Drosophila melanogaster: one gene and its partners. The protein of the gene in region 3 interacts with the protein of the main gene of each other region in a pairwise test. Each region holds a gene or a part of one and is shown on either strand. Other genes may lie near its edges.

The links.
Region 1: the proteins of CG3081 (region 3) and eIF5B interact in a two-hybrid assay, tested with the Drosophila melanogaster proteins (one large-scale study listed by BioGRID).
Region 2: the proteins of CG3081 (region 3) and CG7017 interact in a two-hybrid assay, tested with the Drosophila melanogaster proteins (one large-scale study listed by BioGRID).
Region 4: the proteins of CG3081 (region 3) and CG15370 interact in a two-hybrid assay, tested with the Drosophila melanogaster proteins (one large-scale study listed by BioGRID).

The regions. Positions count from the first base shown.
Region 1 is NT_037436.4:3,457,868-3,463,042, reverse strand, and holds the start of eIF5B (eukaryotic translation initiation factor 5B), read left to right. Parts: upstream 1-2,065; 5' UTR 2,066-2,336; intron 2,337-2,414; 5' UTR 2,415-2,800; coding exon 2,801-2,871; intron 2,872-2,944; coding exon 2,945-4,095; intron 4,096-4,202; coding exon 4,203-5,175. Other genes in the region: armi (armitage), read right to left, coding at 1-181, 259-702; CG46463 (uncharacterized protein), read right to left, coding at 740-922, 1,373-1,468.
Region 2 is NT_037436.4:20,209,683-20,214,170, forward strand, and holds CG7017 (uncharacterized protein), read right to left. Parts: upstream 2,441-4,488; 5' UTR 2,352-2,440; coding exon 2,342-2,351; intron 2,071-2,341; coding exon 1,001-2,070; 3' UTR 610-1,000; downstream 1-609.
Region 3 is NC_004354.4:4,638,577-4,643,028, reverse strand, and holds CG3081 (uncharacterized protein), read left to right. Parts: upstream 1-1,866; 5' UTR 1,867-1,952; coding exon 1,953-3,704; 3' UTR 3,705-3,770; downstream 3,771-4,452. Other genes in the region: CG3062 (uncharacterized protein), read left to right, coding at 699-835, 887-1,196, 1,377-1,661; pon (partner of numb), read right to left, coding at 4,370-4,452.
Region 4 is NC_004354.4:9,223,455-9,227,420, forward strand, and holds CG15370 (uncharacterized protein), read left to right. Parts: upstream 1-1,982; 5' UTR 1,983-2,001; coding exon 2,002-3,114; 3' UTR 3,115-3,234; downstream 3,235-3,966. Other genes in the region: Gr8a (gustatory receptor 8a), read left to right, coding at 3,841-3,966.

The DNA of each region.
Region 1 (5,175 bases), on a different chromosome or scaffold from region 3:
CTCCATTCGTTGGGATGAAGTTCATCTCGATATTGTCTAGCTCGACGGTCAGCTGTCCGTATTCCGTTTCGACGTCTATGGAAGATGCCAGACGCTGGCTAATCAGACCCAAAACGCTCCTTGTTTCGGTGTTAAAGAATGTCGGCTTTTCGTTCTTCAGGTTGTCTACAGCTTTTTCAATCTAATAGAAGTTAGGATTACAGATATTAAGCATTGGCTTTAACAAATGGCTAATAAATCTAATACCGATGAGCTTACCTCCTTTTGGCTTGTGTCCTCCCAGGAATGCTCAAGGATACTCTTCACCTTGACCACCCGCATGGCTTCCCCCGTTGTAAAAGTCAAATATTCCACTACACATCCGACGTGTAGATCCAAGATGATATCCTCTGCCACCTTCGTTTCGAATAAAACGTCTTTGTCGATGACTCCCCGATCGCCGTCTAGACTGGTGATCACTCCCTTTCTGGCGGTGCAGGAACTTTCTTTACTCACGTCCATTTCCGAAAGTCCATGCGTAAGCTCAGCGATCTTGTTACTTAAAACCCCATTAATTTCGTTTGGATTCGCCTTAAGCTGTTGATCCATCTTCTCCTCCATTAGTTTTTGGTCTAAAAAGCTATTCTCCCGATCCAAACTTTCCAGAATATCCTCCCGGTTACGATCCGGGTTCGTGAAAAACTTGCTAACGTATGTGAACATTTTTGAAAATGTTTCGCCGATAAATGCTCTGCCGTTCCTACTGCGCTGCTTTCTTGTCGAGACTCTCGTACATCCAGTCGGTTTCGCTGAGATAGCTCAATTCCTTGCGCAGATTCTGCAGACGCTTCAAGTGGTTCTCCGTCGTCTCCGCCGCCTTCCCGCCCTCGGTGGTTTCGCTCTGCGATTCCGCCTTGTCAGCTCCGATCTCGGGTTTCTTAGCCTGGAAATGTGGACCATCTGTATTGTAAACATTTGAGAACATACAATGTTACCTTCTATGACACCGAAGGCTTAAATATCCTACAATTTTCATTTAACAACATTTTGTTGTTTTACTTCTACGGACAATTTTTGAAATATTTAGAGAATATTTATTTATAAATTTAAATGTATTTATAAGAGCATATATAAAATAAAAAAATTAACATTTGTATACATTTTCTGTATGTTTTGTAACGGAAAATTAAAAACTTTGTGTTAGGGTTCTTGAATTCAATAGTGATTTGTTTTTTAGTCTAGGCTGTTAAAATAACTGCAAAAAAGCAACAGTTTGAATGGAGAAAAAGCAAACGAAAGTCTCAAGAAAAGCGACAGCAACAGTTACTCCTGCACTGCTTTCGTCTCCTTCTACCACGCCAAAACAAGGATGGCAACAACAACAAACTCATACCTCTGTTTCACTGGATTCAACGGGAATATTGGTGGCCGTACCGCTTGTAGATGCTTCTTCTTTGATGGTTATACTTCCGGATGCTTCGCTGGACATTGTCCAATCACGCGGATTTACCTTGGTTATCAAGCTGTGGACCAAATATGTGAGTTCCTTACCGGCTTTTTGCAAATGCACAGCCGGATTTGCTATTTGTACTCGTACTTACAAATATTCTTAACGCTGTTGAATTAGTAGATGCACTGCACTTTGAGTTTTAAGAGTTCAATGGGAAATAGTCATAGTATTCGAAAAAACTCTCGAGCAAAATTTTGAGCACAAAGCGTCTTGGCGAACTTTTAAGTGTGACCGGACTTAGCGGCGTAGAAAATATCCTTGGCTGTGGTATTTTCTTAAAGTGTGTCAAATTAAAGCGGTGGAATATGAAACGTGAGGAAGTTGCTTATGTATTTATATTTTCCTTATTTAAAAAAAGTTCTCAAAAATAAAATGAAACAAAAATGTAAAGTAAAGAACTCAAGAAAGTATATAAAATATCGGCAGTCCACATTTAAGTTTTTGTTTTTGGAATTTACCTCCTCACAAAAATAATACACACGAAGAACTTGTTCTTATTCTTTTATCTTTTTTTCAAGAGTACCTGTTAGTTATCTGTCACTTACATTTAAGAAATAAGCAATCAAATTCCAAAATATGCCAAATATCTTTCCGCAATCCGGAAAGTTTTTCGAGTATATGTGTAAAAAAGTCCATAGATGGTTTCTTTCTCCATAAATACCCTAGTGATCGATATTATTTAAGAGTATGTTCAATACTTTTCGCAGTTGAAATAATTTACCAATTAGGAAAACCAATAAAACCAACTGCCCTATGTCTGATGAGTAAGAAACTGAGCACCAGAGGCGATAAATGGTTCCCGTAAACAGCGCACGCCAGCGCCGAGGCCGCGATTCTATTGAAAAAGGTGTATATATATTTAATATATCTTTATGTACAACTATAGACTCAAAACAAAAATACCCCGCTCAACTGGATATTACAGGGTATAATCGATAACCTTAGCTCAGCCATTGTGATTTTCAGCAATCCACTCGCACGGTCACACTGCCTGTCCAACCCTCCCGCACCGTACTACTCGACAACGTGCTTGTGTGCAGAATTTCCTCGGCTAAATAAAACCAAAAATTGGCAAAGCGCCGTGTCAGATCTAGCCGTCGATTGCACAATTCCGGAGCAGGACGTCGTCGCTGGAGCCACCGAAGCGGAGTCACCATCAGAAGATCACCAGCACCAGGAGAACCCAGTGGACAGTCCTCCTCTTTTTCTTGGCTGCCGAGGCGTCGCGTGTGCGTATCTTTCAGCGGTGAATAACCCACGGCTTTTTGTTTTCGGCCAGAGGAGGAGCGTGTTGCAGTCGCAAACGGGAAGATGGTTAAAGCTAAAAAGGGCAAGAAAGAGATACTGACCAAGGTCGAAGGCGGTTCCTCGGTGGACGAAATGTGAGTCTTGTGCAAGTTCATGCCCACCTGCCAACTTGGCAAACTTTCTATCGCAAATTATTCAATCTTACAGCTCCGATGTGGACAGCGACCAGTTGAGCCTCAACAACAAGCAGAATCATGCCCTGAAGGGCAATCAAGCTGGCGATGACGATGTTAAAGCCGTGACCAAGGGGGTCAAGAAGCTTAATGTCAAGGGAAAAGGCAAAGCAGGCAAAAATGACGACTCCGATGAGGAGGAGGTGGTGCCCGCCAAGGGCAAAGCTTCTAAGAAGTCGGCTTTTGAGCTGCTAATGGACGACGACGAGCAGGACGAGCCAGCTGCCCAGGAAAGCCAGTCTGAGAAGGAGGAAAAGGTAGTGGTCTCCAAGCCACAGAAGAACGAAAAGAAGGGCAAAAAGGCCAAACGCAAGGGGAAGGACGACGACGATGAAGATCTGGACAAGGTTTTAGCTGAGCTTCAAGCGGAATACGCCGGCGAGGCTGCTCCTGCTGCCACTACTGTTGTTTCCCCCGAAGAATTGGCCGATGAGTTCTCCAAGAAAAAAAAGAACAAGAAGCAGGCCAAGCAGGCTGCAGTGGCAGAAAACGCCGGAGAGGATGAGGCCAGCGATGACGAGGAGGGCGGCAGCACTGTGAAGTCGGCAGCCCAGAAAAAGAAGGAAAAGAAGGAGCGCCAAAAGAGGGAGGCTGCCCTAGCCAAGCAAAAGGCAGCTACTGAACCCAAACCGAAGCCCGTGGAGAAACCTGCGCCAGAACCCGAGCCTGTGGCTACGGAAGAAGTCCAGCCCGCCGCCGAGGAAGAGGAGGAAAAGTCCAGCAAAAACAAGAAGAAGGGCAAGAAAGACAAAAAGGCCGAGCCTGAGGAGGAGAAGAAGGACGCCAAGAAGAAGGGTATGTCTGCCTCCATGGTGGCGGCCATGCAGGAGCAGCTAAGAAAGCGAAAGGAGGAGGAGGAGCGCCTGGAGCGGGAGGAGGCAGAGCGAATTCGCCTGGAGGATGAGCGCGAAGAAGCCCGCCTGGAGGCAGTGCGTCTGGAGGCAGAGAGGAAGGAGAAAAAGAAGCAGCGCGAGGCAGAGCGCAAGGCTCGCTTGAAGGCGGAAGGAAAACTGCTCACCAAGAAGCAGAAGGAGGATAGGGCTAGGGCACAGGCTCTCCTGGAGTCTCTAAAGGCTCAGGGTCTCGAGATTCCCGATCCGAACGACAAGCGACCCACGCGGCCAGGTATGTAAATGGCTTTCTTCCTAAATTTGTATGCCACGACCTCAGTTTTGTATTGCCTTGTAACATTATTAGCTTATTATCTCAACTAACTGATTCATGTCTTTCAGGAACTCGTATCCGTCCGAACAAAAAGAAGGGCCCTAAGGAAGAGGCCGCCGAAGAGGAGGCCAAGGCAGCGGAAGCGGAAGCCCAATCGGCCGCCGCTGCTGCCGCTGCAGCTGCTGCCGAAAAGGCCGAGGAAGAGAGGGTCAAGGAGAGTTGGGATGCCACCGATAGTGAGGCTGAGCCAGAGCCCGAGGAAGAAACGTCGCAGGCCACTAACAATGGCAAGACCGAGGCTGCCGAGGAAGAGAACGAAGATACAGATGACGATGAAGATGACGACGATGATGAAGATGACAGCGATGACTCCGATGGGGATAGTGACGATTCCCGTGAAGTATCGGTGTTGGCCAATGATCCAGAGTCACGACGACTGCGTGCGGAAGCCAGAATCCTAAAACGGCAAGCAGAGGCGGAAAAGAAGCGCTCCACCGACGAACTCAGAGCTGGAGTGGTTTGCGTGCTGGGTCATGTAGATACAGGAAAAACCAAGATCCTGGACAAACTGCGGCGCACACACGTTCAGGATTCCGAAGCGGGTGGCATCACTCAGCAGATTGGAGCCACAAACGTTCCCATCGAAGCAATTAAGGAGCAGACTAAGTACGTAAAGGCGGCCGCTGGATTTGAACATCGCTTGCCTGGTCTATTGATCATCGACACACCCGGCCACGAGTCCTTCAGCAACCTTAGGAACCGAGGATCATCCCTCTGCGACATAGCCATCCTGGTGGTGGACATTATGCACGGCTTGGAGCCACAAACCATCGAGTCCATTCAGCTGCTCAAGAAGAAGAAATGTCCGTTCATTGTGGCCCTGAACAAGATCGATCGTTTGTACGATTGGAAGCAGTTGGCCAGACGGGATGTGAGGGATGTTCTCAAGGAGCAGCAGAGCAACACACAGCTGGAGTTTCAGCAGCGCACAAAGGACGTGATCCTGCAGTTCGCCGAGCAGGGCTTGAATGCTGCTCTATT
Region 2 (4,488 bases), on a different chromosome or scaffold from region 3:
TTGTTATGATCAATAAATACTAATACATTATAGCGAGGCTGCAAAGTTGCCCCGTTTGTCATTTGAATACTTGACCTTTCCTACATACAAATCAATCATCCGCCCTGTGGACTTGTATAACTTCCTTCTTAAAGTGGACATAATTGATTTCTATGGAGAACGAAAGCGCGTCGATGCATTTCATTTGCATTTCACACTCATACAATATTTGTGGACCTAATGGGTAACATCGACCCTAATAGTTGAATTTAATTAGTGATAGACAAAAACGACCCTTGGGCGTTGGATACTTCTTGCTCGCCTGATGGCCAACACGGAAATAAGCGATCGCGGCAGCTCCGAGTAGCGAATTCATTATCTGGACTATCTGGAATCGGTTTGAAATTCTCCGAACCCTCCACTGGGGTACAATTTTAATTAAAACTGATAATTTTTTGGGCACTGCAAGTGTCACGAAAACAGATTGCCAAATATGAATCGTTGTGTGGCGCAGTTTTGATATCAAAAGGGTTGCCAGAAGAATTTTATCACGCCAACTTCGTTTCGCTAATGAACATTTCCGCCAATGTAGTTCAAAAATCAGTCCAAAAAATCATAGTATTTCTCTAGCATTATTTATACCAATTCATATTTTATTGTTCAAGGTTAGGGTAACATCTTCTATAAAGAGGAAGCAGACGGTAAAATTCGAATGGAAAGGGAATAAAACTACAATAGAGCCAAATGCAATGGATAAACTATATATATATACATTTCAGGTTTCAATGGAGTAACACATTTATTGGACATTTTTCGAGAAGCTAATATTTGTAGACCCATTTCCATGGTAAAAAGTAAATGGATGAATGTCATAAAACTTAACACTTCCCACCACAAAGTACATGAATTCCTTTCAAGCAATGCATTTGACCTCCACCATGAATTGGATCGATTTATTGGATATTTAAATTGGATGCGATTTGGTAAGGATTGTGGTAAGGATGCGATCTTCTGGGACAGCCTACACGGAACATGCGATGTTGTGGTAGTTGGTCTGTGTGCATCCCTGGTTGCGCTCGTCGAAGTAGTAGCCCGTTGGGCACTGGCCCAGGCTGACGGTCACTCCGCCGGAGCAACGTCCATAGCTCTGGCAATCGCCGGCGACGTTTACGTAGGTGATGTTGGTGCCCACACACCTGTCCAGCTGGCAGCGTACGTTAAGTCTGTCGCGGCACGAGAGCTTCTCGAAGTCGAAGTACTGGCCAAGTGGACAGCTCAGGTGCTTGGGCTCCGTGTCGTGCTTGCCGGCGACGGGGCTGCCACAGATATAGTAGTGGGAGCAGGACTCGTCGTCGGCAAAGTAGCCAACGCGAGCGGATCCGGTGGCACTGTCCAGGCAGAAGGTGTTTTCCGGTTCCGGCAGGGCGGCACTCTCGTAGCAGGACACCTCAGCCACATCCACGCAGTAGCCGAGATTAGCATCGTAGGCACTGGCCACTGGACAGGCTCGGCTGTGCAAGACCTCGCTGACGCACTCGTAGTACTGGTCACAGTGGACGGGATCGGCCAGACGGGTGTTGTTCGGCAGGGATCGGCAGGCGGGACTGGTCTTCTTCGTCTGGCTGATGGGGCAACGGTACTGCTTTTCGTACACGCAAGACCTCGATACGGGATGGAAGATCAGCTCGTTGGGACAGTTGGCCTTGATCTGCTTGTGCGACTTGCACAAGATGTAGCCGCGACAATCGCTGCTGCTGGGATCCACGATGAAGGCGCCTTCCGTTTCGTTGGCGCACAGGTTCGTGGCCTTGTCCGCAATGCTGTCGGCATAGGGACACACCGCGGCGCTGGAGGATGCCAGGATGCAGCGGCCTAGCTCCTTGTTGTAGTTGAGTCCTGCGGCACAGCCGCCCTGCTCCAGCACGCTGTAGTTGCTGGCGCACCGCACCCAGTTGTCGCAGGTATTCGGTCGCAGGAAGCTTGTCTCCTGCGGCAGCAGGTCGCACATCTCGGCCACCGATAGGTATTCAAAGTCCTCGATCACGCCGCCCAGGGCGCTGGCCACAAACAGCAGCGACAGGACACCGCTAGCTGCAAGTAAAATCGAAAATCGTGGGAACATTGTGTCAGGAACAGGATGGCATATCCAGTGTGCTTTACCATTTATTAACCCCAAACATGTGAGTCAATTTTTAAATTTAAACTACGATAGCTGGTACGAAAATTACCCTTCTGCCAGAAAGCCCTATCAACTTAAAAACTTAATGTTTGAATTTAATTTATATGTACATTTTTAAAGAGCAATTCTTTCAAACGAAATCCATCACTGTCAATGTTCAGCTGGCGTCCCACTTTAGTTTACCTCTATTCATGTTTTATATCCTTTGGTTAACTTGTATCCTGGTTTCTCGAACGCCCCGCTGCGATCTTGGCGGCACTCACAACTCAAATGATACTGCACCTTCGGAGGCTGGAGCTCTTAAATATGCAAAGGCCATTCTGCTCGGTTTTGTTCGGCGAAAAACAATTTCCAAAATGCACACGCTATCTCAATCAGAACTCCAAGATAGCGCTGATTTTTCGTTCTTCGATTTTTGATTTACTGATGTACGATAGCGGGGCCGCATGTAAATTACACGGCAATAACATCGGAATTGCCTATTTCGCAGAAGAACAGACTCCTGTGGTGGCGGTGGTATCGCATCGGATTGATAAGGGAATTGCATATGTCACGCCAAGATCTCCAAGATCTCAGCGCCATTGACGGTTCTCGAACATCTGAGAAACGCTGGAATAGTCATCTACAGACCGAACTCCCAATCTCATCGAATATCTTAATTCGGAGTTCGGACCAATAAATGAATTGCTGAACGATTTCTGCGTCAACTGAGCTCTTCGTCATGTCTCTTTGAATATTATTATTATTTTTTTGTATCATTTTGTTACCTATAACTATGCTATATTATACGATACCATACTAGAATATACTATACTATACTTTAGCCGCCGTTTACAGAAGTTAATATTCTAATACAATTTCACGTGTCTCTTTTATTTTTGATCTGTCCTTTAGCTTGGTTCAACAGCGACTGACTGCCGCGCTCTCTGCAGAGTGGCGAGTCGATTAGTCGATAAGTTTCTCGATAATATTTGTATGTTAAGGATGGGTGTATGAGTGTATAAGCTTATGACTAGATTGGCTATGTATAATTAGGTATGTATGACTAAGAGTAAAGGAAGAGGGTAGAAGGAGCAGCCTACTACAACTCGGCCGTCCTGACTACTAGATCTCCCGATCGTAGGATTTTATAACAATTAACGTTTCTTAAAGCTAAGGGTCCTGTTTCTTATTTTATTCTTCTTAGTGGAGATACTTTTGAACGGTCTTAAACATTTTTTTGGTTTTCTTTTCTTCTTGTTTGTTTTCTTTGTTTTACAATTGCTTCTTAAATTATACTTTCGATTTCGTACAGAGTTTCTTAAATTATACTTTCTATTTTGTACAGAGTTTCTCAAATTATACTTTCTATTTTGTACAGAGTTTCTCAAATTATACTTTCTATTTTGTAGACTCTTAATTTTTCTTTGCCAGTGTTTTATATTCTGTATGCTCCATACACCCCGGTAAGGATTGCGAGAAATTTGAAATCCATCAACATCTTCCAGAAGGAAGCGATCATTTTTGAGAACTTTGCTTATGACATAGGGTCCTTTATGCTTTGGAATTAACTTCTTAGCTATGCCTGTTGTTGAGTCAAAATTTTTAACCATGACGTAGTCGCCTTTTGTGAACACTCCTGATCGTTTTCGTTTTTTGTCAACATATTCTTTATTGTATGCTTGTGCTATTTTCTGACTTGCCTCGCCTTTATTTCTAATACTTTCTAAATCTCTTTCTTCAATCGTTTCTCCAATTTCCTCAATTTTTTCTTTTAACTCATCCATAATTTGTCCTTTTTGTTGTAACCCAAATAACATTATGCTAGGATACTGTTTAATGCTGCGGTGTAGTGTATTGTTCAGGGTATATTCGACCTTTTCTAAGACTAAGTCCCAGTGTAGACCTTGATCAGGTTCAATTAACTTGCTAATCATTGGACCAAGACTTCGGTTTATACGTTCAACTTGACCGTTGGCTTGTGGCGATCCTGTTGCAATTTTTATGTGTTTAACATTGCATTCTTTCAAAAATGAGTCAAAATCGCCAGACGTGAAACATGCTCCTCTATCTGATATGATACACTTAGGCCTACTGTATGCTCTGAAGTAGTCATTTAACGATTGTATGACTTCTTTTGTGTTCGTAGTTTTTGTTGCGTATAGTCTGACAAACTTTGTGAATGCATCTACTATCACTAGAATATGTTTCTTCGGTCTAGCCAAGTCTACTGGACCATAATGGTCAATATGGATTATTTCAAAAGGTTTGTTTCCCTTAGGTATGTTGTGTAGAAATCCTTCTGTTTTTCCTGTTTTGGGACTGAATGAAATACATTTTAAACAGTTGCT
Region 3 (4,452 bases):
GCATTCCTTAATTGAAATTCGTACGCGTGGGAAGACCACGCAGCCTGAAAGCTTTGAATCTCCCAAAGTTGGATGTTGCTCCATGTTTTTTTTTTTTTTTGGAAGAGATGATCTTCCATTTAACAGATTTCACTTCTCATATTCATATTCAATTATGCCACATAGTAGTTCAATCCAATTCAATTGCAGGCATATTGCCGGGCTCACTTGCTCCTGTGCCCGCTTAGGGCTGGCTAATCCTTCTGATAAATGGTCCGGGCTTTGGATGAGATGCAGTGGCTCGTTTTTTAGCGCGCGCAGAGATGTTGGAAATTTTTAGAAAGGCAAACACAAACAAGGCATTAAGTGGCATTAGACAAATGCCTTTCTACACATGTTCCAGCGTAGAGATTACGCCGTGTAATTGGCCCCACCTCCATTCGCCCGGGGTGGGTTCCGGTTTTCGATTGACATTTGGCCACGGCTGCGGGGTGGGCTACTGCTCTGCTCTGCTCTGCTCCTTCTACAATTTTTTTTTTTTTTTTTGTTCTTTCTTTTTATCAATTGCCTTGTTTGCGCTGGGACCATAAATAAGGGCATTACTCGCAGGGGGCGTGCGCGTTTTCCTAACAGGTGTCTATCGACTCCTGGCTAATCCCATGCCCATGCCCATGCCCAGCTCCCTGACATCGAGTTCCTTACTTACTCGTTCGTTGCAGTTCGAAGGCCGATTCCAGTCGAAGCGTCTCAACAACTGGGAATATCCGCGATTCTCACCACCCCGCCCACGTGGTCTGCAGAAGAACGCCAAGGTTGTGGCGGCCAATAACGGTCACCTGCTGCCCGAAGTGATAAAGTAAGCAATTGCCAATGCCCCACAATTATACAGTTTAATTTTAATCCACAGGGAGGGCAACTCATTTGGCCAATATCGTGGAACCTACGAGCTACCGCGTCGAATAACCCGTGCCTTTTGCGCCCACTACGATGCCTGTCTGAGTGGGCGGTACAAGTTTGTTGACTTTCCGCGTGACCTGTGCAATTGTCAGCGAGAGAACCGCAGGGCACTGGCCTGCGATCAGCGGTTGACCTTGGGCCACAAGGACGATCCCTACTGGATGCGCGAACGGTGCCAGACGAAGTGCGAGGGACTACAGAAGCTGAGGGCGTTGAGCGAGCGGAGTGCGCGCTGCAATCGGGCCAAGTGCGACGTGGTGGTGAGTGGGAATCGGGGTCACCATCGGGGTCACCATCGGTGTCACCTCTTACCAATTATGTGCACCCAGATTATTGAGTTATCTGCAACCAAGCTATACATATTTTCATTTCTGGTTGCACTTTTTGCACTTTCATCCTGCACCCTGCACACTCACATTCACATTCACCTGCAACCGTAGAGCGAGAAAACCGTGAAGATGACGCCGAAGGCAATCAAGACGACGGGTGTGGCCACCGAAAAGCGGCGTCGAAAGCGCACCATAACCGCCTTTTCCAAAGGACGAACGGCATTGCATCCCAATGAGCTGACCAAGCCGATTCCATCGTCGGAGAAACCGGCGGCGACTGTCGCCACTCCCAAGGACAAGCCGAAGGACAAGCCAAAGGACAAGGAGGCGGGCAAGAAGGATAAGACGAAGGATAAGGGCAAGGAGAAAGAGCGCAAGGCGGCGAAGGGCCATTAGTAAAACTTCATTATTTTGTTCAACCGAAATTCAAATCAAATTCATTGTAACCGCAGGTTTAAAATACATTTTAAAGGGCAGCACGATTGCACTCAACACAAATCATATAGCATATATATTTTATAACTAAACCCAGGTTAAACCATCTGTTACATATGTACATAAATCATACATCATTATCATCTCCATCTCCATCTCCATCTTATCTCATCCCATTCCATTCTGCACCACCAACGCATTGCAACAAGTGAACGAACCTGAAAGCCACCTACTCCATTACTCCATCCAATCATGTCGCAAACAGCTCTCCCGGAACTGAGCTACACGCCGGGCGACCTAACAGAGCCGCAGTTCCGGCTGCCCTCGCACCAGGAGCTCCTCGACCAGAAACGCAACAGCACGGACAGCGTGCCACTTGGTCGTCTCACCTTGGACACGCGCGACACGCAGCCCATCAAGTACAGGGAGCAGCTGGGCTCGGCGGCCGGTCGTCAATTTCCGGCATTGGCAGCGGCCCAAAATCGCTATACGGATCACTTGGAGCGCAGCAGCGAGTTGAGCTTTGCGTGCCTGGAGCCGGGCAAGGATCTAATCTCATTGCCGACGGTGGGTATACGAAGCTTTGATCTCGATCCCGTATCCGTATCCGAACCCGATTTGATCAAGAAGATGCCGCTGCACTCGATCACGGAGAAGCCCAACGAGCGGTGTCCATCGCCAGTGGTGCCGGCATATGCCAATTTCGAGCTGGCCAAACGGATGCACCAGGACAATTTGGACCACCAGCCGCTGCCCGATTGCGTCGCCGATTTGGCATTCCGGCGAGCGCAAATATCCGGCGGACATGCTGGCCTGGCCCTGGAAATCGATCCCATTGCCACGGGCGTGGGTGTGAAAACGCACAATGCTGGTCCGACGCACTGCACCAAGATGAAGGTCTTTCGTCCGAAGACCGGCGGTGGCATCGTGCCACGTGCCCTCGGCAATGGCGATGCCTTTCGAGGTGTTGGCTCCGCTCCGGCCAAAAAGATGGGACCCATGGATTTGGCCATTTGTTGGGACTTCAAGCCGGCGAATCCATCGGATGAGCCGCGCCTGGCCAGGCACATAGATGGCTCCAATGACTCCGCTGGACCGGCTGTCTTCACCTGCGTGAAAACGCCTCGCGAGGAACAGTCCTCGGACTTGGGCCGATCGGCTGGCGTCTTCACCAGCACGCTTGGTGAGGCCGATTTCTTCGACAAGGACATCCTGAGGAAGCGAACGGATTTTGGCGGTGCCCGTGTGGATCGCGAGGATCCGTGCGCCTGCGACTACTCGCCACCGGCCAGACAAAGAGCACGCAGTGTCTCCCGCGATTCCAGTGCATCGCATTGCAGGCGAGGATCGGGCATCGGCGGTCCAACTGGCGGTGTGAGTTTCGGCAATTTGGCGGAGCTACCCGGTCGCGGGATGCCCGATCGTCTAGCCAAGCAGTATCAATCGTCACCCCTGCTGGGCGACAAAGCCTACCAGGCTTTGAGGGAGAAATATTTGGGTCCGGACTCTGGACAGGATTGCAGGGCCATGGATTGCCGGCCAACGGGTGGTCCACCATGCAAGCGAGACGTTCTCCTCCGGCGTCCAGCTCGACGTCTCTGCCACAAGGTGGCTCCAGCTCCCAGATGCTGTCCCCCATCGTTCGGCGGACATGGTCATCACCATGGACATGGACACGGACACGGACATTGCTTGACCAGTAAGGCGGCATTTCGCGCCGGAGTGCCCAAGCATAATGCCTCCGGTGATTTCGTGGGAATAGAACCGGGCTGCGGAGGAGGTGGCGGTGGCGGTGGTAGGGTTCTGGTGGTGCCACGCCCCCGGCAGCCGTATGCCAAAAAGAATTACGACATCGAAACCCTGGTGCCGCCCTTCCAAAGCCAAGCGGGCGGAGCGGGTCAGGGCGGCTATCCAGAGCACTGGCGATTGGCCAGTGTCTATCAGCACGCCTACAAGCCCATCGACCAGCGGCGGCGACCCCTTCTCCAAACTGTCTACAAGTAGGTGTGCTCCAGGATGGCAGTCCGCTCAAGAGAGAAATGTCCGGACAAACGGGATAATGAATAATTGAAAGCTATACAAAAATGTCCATAAGCTAAGCAAGTATATTAACTTATCAACTTAAATGTTTGCTAGTCATTAGCATTAAATTGATGCATCTGTACACACAAATTAGTCGGAAAAATCGGTCCAAGAATAGGAAATCACACGTTTATGTATAAAAAAACAAATGTTATATATATTAGAAAGCATATATATATATATATATAAAGATATATGGGCAAACATACATACATACATATATGAATAAACGTGCAAACATCAAGTAACTTAAAACTATAAACAGTGTGCAAATTAATTTGCAGAGTTCGCTTGAAAAATTAAGAAAAAAAACTTGATTAAAAACTAGGTGATGATGTGGTTTTCAGATGAAATAAGGTTTCCTTTCCTTTTTTCGCTGGTCTTGTGTGACAATCTTTGGGTGCAATTAAAAACTTAACTAGGTGCTGAAAAATCGAATTGAAAAGAAGTCAATTGGGTCAATTCAACAAGGGGAAGGCGCATTTCAAAAATAATAACAAATAAATTTAAATGCTTTCGGTTACAGAAATGCCATTTGAAATCCCCTAAAAATCGACGCACCAATTGAATCTGTGGAGCCAACCTGCTCACTTGGCGGTTGCATAGGCATCGTGACTCTTGTGGAACACATGGCGCAGCACGTCCCGCGTGGACCGCCTAATGCTGTTCC
Region 4 (3,966 bases), 4.6 Mb from region 3:
TTGCAGTTATAACTATGACTTCATACTTTGCTTTTTAGCAAGTCCAGAGATCAGCTGGGAATATATATTGTACATATATACTAAATTATTTTAGAATCAAGTTCACTGACCCCAAACGGTTATTTCGGAAGTTTAGGAACAAATGTAAATTTTGTTTTAACTTCATTTTATAGTGTAACATAAAAAATCATCGCCCAAAACCGGCTGGGGTTAAGGGCCGCTTAGAACTTTCAGATTCCAAAAACCATAGATTATTCAGCCTACTTATTAGAAGTTGTTGACTGCGTCCCAAAAAAATCTAGATATTAGAATGCTTTCGGCTGGTAAGTCAATTAGTCCGTCGTCTAATAGGCTTTGCGGCTTAATGGAACGCTTTTTGCCTCATTGTGTTACCCCTTTTCTTTGCGTATACGTAATATGAGTGCTGGAAATATCCGGCATACCCCGATGCTACCCCCTCTTTCGACCAACAAACTGACCATGAATATTTTCGCTTTTGTTTGCCGACCATATAAACACGTTTTCGATTGTTTCGCCGTTTTCTTTTCTTTCCATTTATTGCCTTTTTAACTGGGTTGGATTTTGCATTCCCCGATTTTCTGCTTAATTTTCACGCCAAATGAAAAGCGTGAGAACCGCGAACATACATAATATTCATTAGCGAATTATAGATTGGGTTTGGTTTTCAGTTCTAAATTTTCAGACTTCGCAAATTAAATGCGAATAAATAAATATTTAAGCAATCAATCCAGATGCCACTTGCATATTAATTGTATTGTTTTTCGTTGTATTTTGTTTGCCATCTGAGAGAGAAAGAGAGATTTCCAAGTGGCCTACAATCGCGATGATAATGATACTGAAAATGATGATCGTGATAATGATGTCGCAGAGCAACTTTCTCAGTTTATTTTTTTTCCCCCTATTAGCATCACAATTAAATGTTTTTTATTAATTTCGTAGCGCGAAACTGAAAATTAGTATTGGCGATATGCGCCGATATTATATAAGTGAGAATATCGATTAGGTATGAATGAACACGGTAATTTCCCCGATAATTTCGATAGCTGCGAACAGATCAGGTCGCTTTCATTATTCAATTTGTATTAACTTTCGTTCGTTGTTGTCGTCTGGCTGGCGGCTAGAAAAATGTATGCATCGCATTTCAATAATAATGAAAACAAAAGTTAAAACAAATAAAACAACCGCTAGTTTCGGTGCGATGGAGAAAGGGCGAGGAGGGGGGCTAGTGTGGATAGAGCGGGATAGTGAGATTCCGTCGAACGGTGATTGCAAGAAAATGACATTTTACAGTTGCCCCCAAACACCCTACACTCACCTGCGTTTTGGAGCATCTCGGTTTTATGACACCGTTGGCAGCGCTCCATCGAAAAACCTAGAACTACAAAGTATTACTCATACATTCGCGAATTAATAATCCTTTTTATATCATACATTATGATATCCTTATTATATAAGGCATTATTGTTAATAATTATATAAAAATATGGAATATTATGATCACTCTTTTCTTTAGGATATCAGTACTAGGGTCCAGTGCAGAGACGTCAGAAACTGATAAAAATTCGAAGATATTTATTAATTTTTTTTAGAAAGAAACGCATGATGCAGAGTGGGAGATTCCACGCTGCGTAACAGAATGGAAACTTTATATTAATTTTATCAATTTACAAGAACTCATGCAGATAGCTTGTATGCAAGTTCTTTAAAGATTAACAAATTAATCGGAGAATAAAAATATTAGTAACATAATGAATAAGGTAATAATGGCAAAAAGAAATCCATTATTAATTTGCTAAAAGAAAGGTATACACGCACAAAGGGCATTTGAAGGTCGGCGCAGGGCAAGGTGTCATCCATTTCACCCGAGGGCTCCGTAGGTCAAGATGCTTGTCGTCGCCAGCATTGGCTGTTGTATATAAATTTTGACAAAAGAAAGACTTCGGTTTAAACCAATTTTGGCAAGGCGGCGACCATAAGGTGATGACCACTCGACGCGACGACATGGCATGGATTAGCGGCCGTTCCCACCTGCTGGTGCCTGTGATCTTGGTGCTGTTAATACCGTTGGTCGCGGGCTTCGGCAACGAGTATGTCCACATCAAGGTGCATGTGCCCAAAGAGGAGTCAGCGGCGGAGGAGTCGCCACACAAGGTGATCCACCACTACCACCACCATCCGCATCCGCATCAGTTATACCGCAATCGGGGACGAGCCCGTCCCAAGCCCAGTCCACTGCTGGAGAGCGTAATCCTCTCGGATCTGGACAAGCCGCTGCACATGAGCGAGCATGCGGACTATCTGAATCACGCCAAGGAGCTGGCCGACCACCTCACGGAGACGTATGCCAAAAAGGCAGCTCCTCCGCCGCCGCCGCCGCCCAAGAAGAAGGTCAACACTTATACGATCATTGAGGAGCAGCACAGACCACATGGCTACGACTACGAGGATCACCATGAGCCCAGTGTGGAGACTTATCGAGTGATTGAATCGCGACCCAAGCAGCAGCACCATCATCACACTCATACTCACCATCCGGTTGAGGAGGAGGAGGTGGACGACGATTATGGATATCACTATCCGAGCGGGGGAAATCATCATCATCATCATCATCATCAGACTGGCGCCTATGCGGAACCCGCACCAGTGGAGGAGCACATCGACCAGGAGCCGGATACGGGCTATAAGTATTCGCCACACAGTCACGCCTACATCCCGCCCAGCCACGGTCAGGCCCAGCGGAGCTCCAAGCAAACCAGAGCGCCAGCGTACACTCTCGAAGCTCCGCAGGAATCCTCCTTCGGATACGATTACTCGCGACCCTCGGCCGGAAGTAGCACTGACTTCCGGCCATCCGTCCAGGTGCCATCCAGTGACCCGTACGGCGAGGAGGAACCGGCGGACACCTATGGACCACCGCTTACGGCCACAAGGCGTCGCCGGCCATCGCAATCCCTGGTGGATTGGCCCGAGTCCAAGGGATTCAACAGTGCCGCGTCCGAAACATACAGTGGCGTCGATAGCTACAACGTGGGTCATGTTCAGGGCTATGGATCCAGTAGCTATCACCAGTACAGTGGTGGGCCCTATCTGTAGGCGTTCCAACACCCCGTCTAATCTAAGATCTATTTATTGCACTTTTTTTTTCCTAGCTTCGTAAGTCGATAGTCAGTTTTCAGATTTAAGCGATAAATAAATAAATGTTTGTAAACACTTAAAGAAATGTTATTCAATTTCTAGGAATCAAGTTGTTAGAAGTAATAAACAAAAGGTTAACTTATTTGTTTATTTATTTATTTGTTTCAACTCAATCCTAGCAGTTGGAAAGCACCAAGACCACTTGAAAATTATAATGTAATAAAAACGCAAATTTGAATAGTTGAAGTAATAAAAAAAAGAGACTGTCTAATTAGTATGCATATTATGATCTTGAATTCTCAAATTAGTTTATTTAAACACTAAAATCTAATATTCTAATGGTGCAAGAGTAAAATGCACTCATTTTTGTTATTGACTTCAACTTTGGATACCAACCGGTTCACTTGGCAATGGGAATTTAAGTATACTACTTAGTGCAATTATCCTAAGTCTTGATTCTATCTATAAAACGTATAATATATTTACATTCTGATTATTTATTATTATTTCAAATACGGAAATCGTGTTTGGTACATTCATACATGGACTACTGTTCTCAGTGTTTTTGAGGAAGTCAGTTAGGCTAATGGATTTCTCAGTTGTTTGTTGGCCCATTTAAAGGGAGATCCGCCGCAAGGATAAGGCCTGTCCATCCATAAGGGTTTCACTTCCGAGCAGTCAACGATGAGCGGCCATCTGGGTCGGGTCCTGCAGTTCCACCTGCGGCTCTACCAGGTGCTCGGCTTCCATGGGCTGCCGTTGCCGGGCGATGGGAATCCGGCCAGGACCAGGAGGCGTCTGATGGCATGG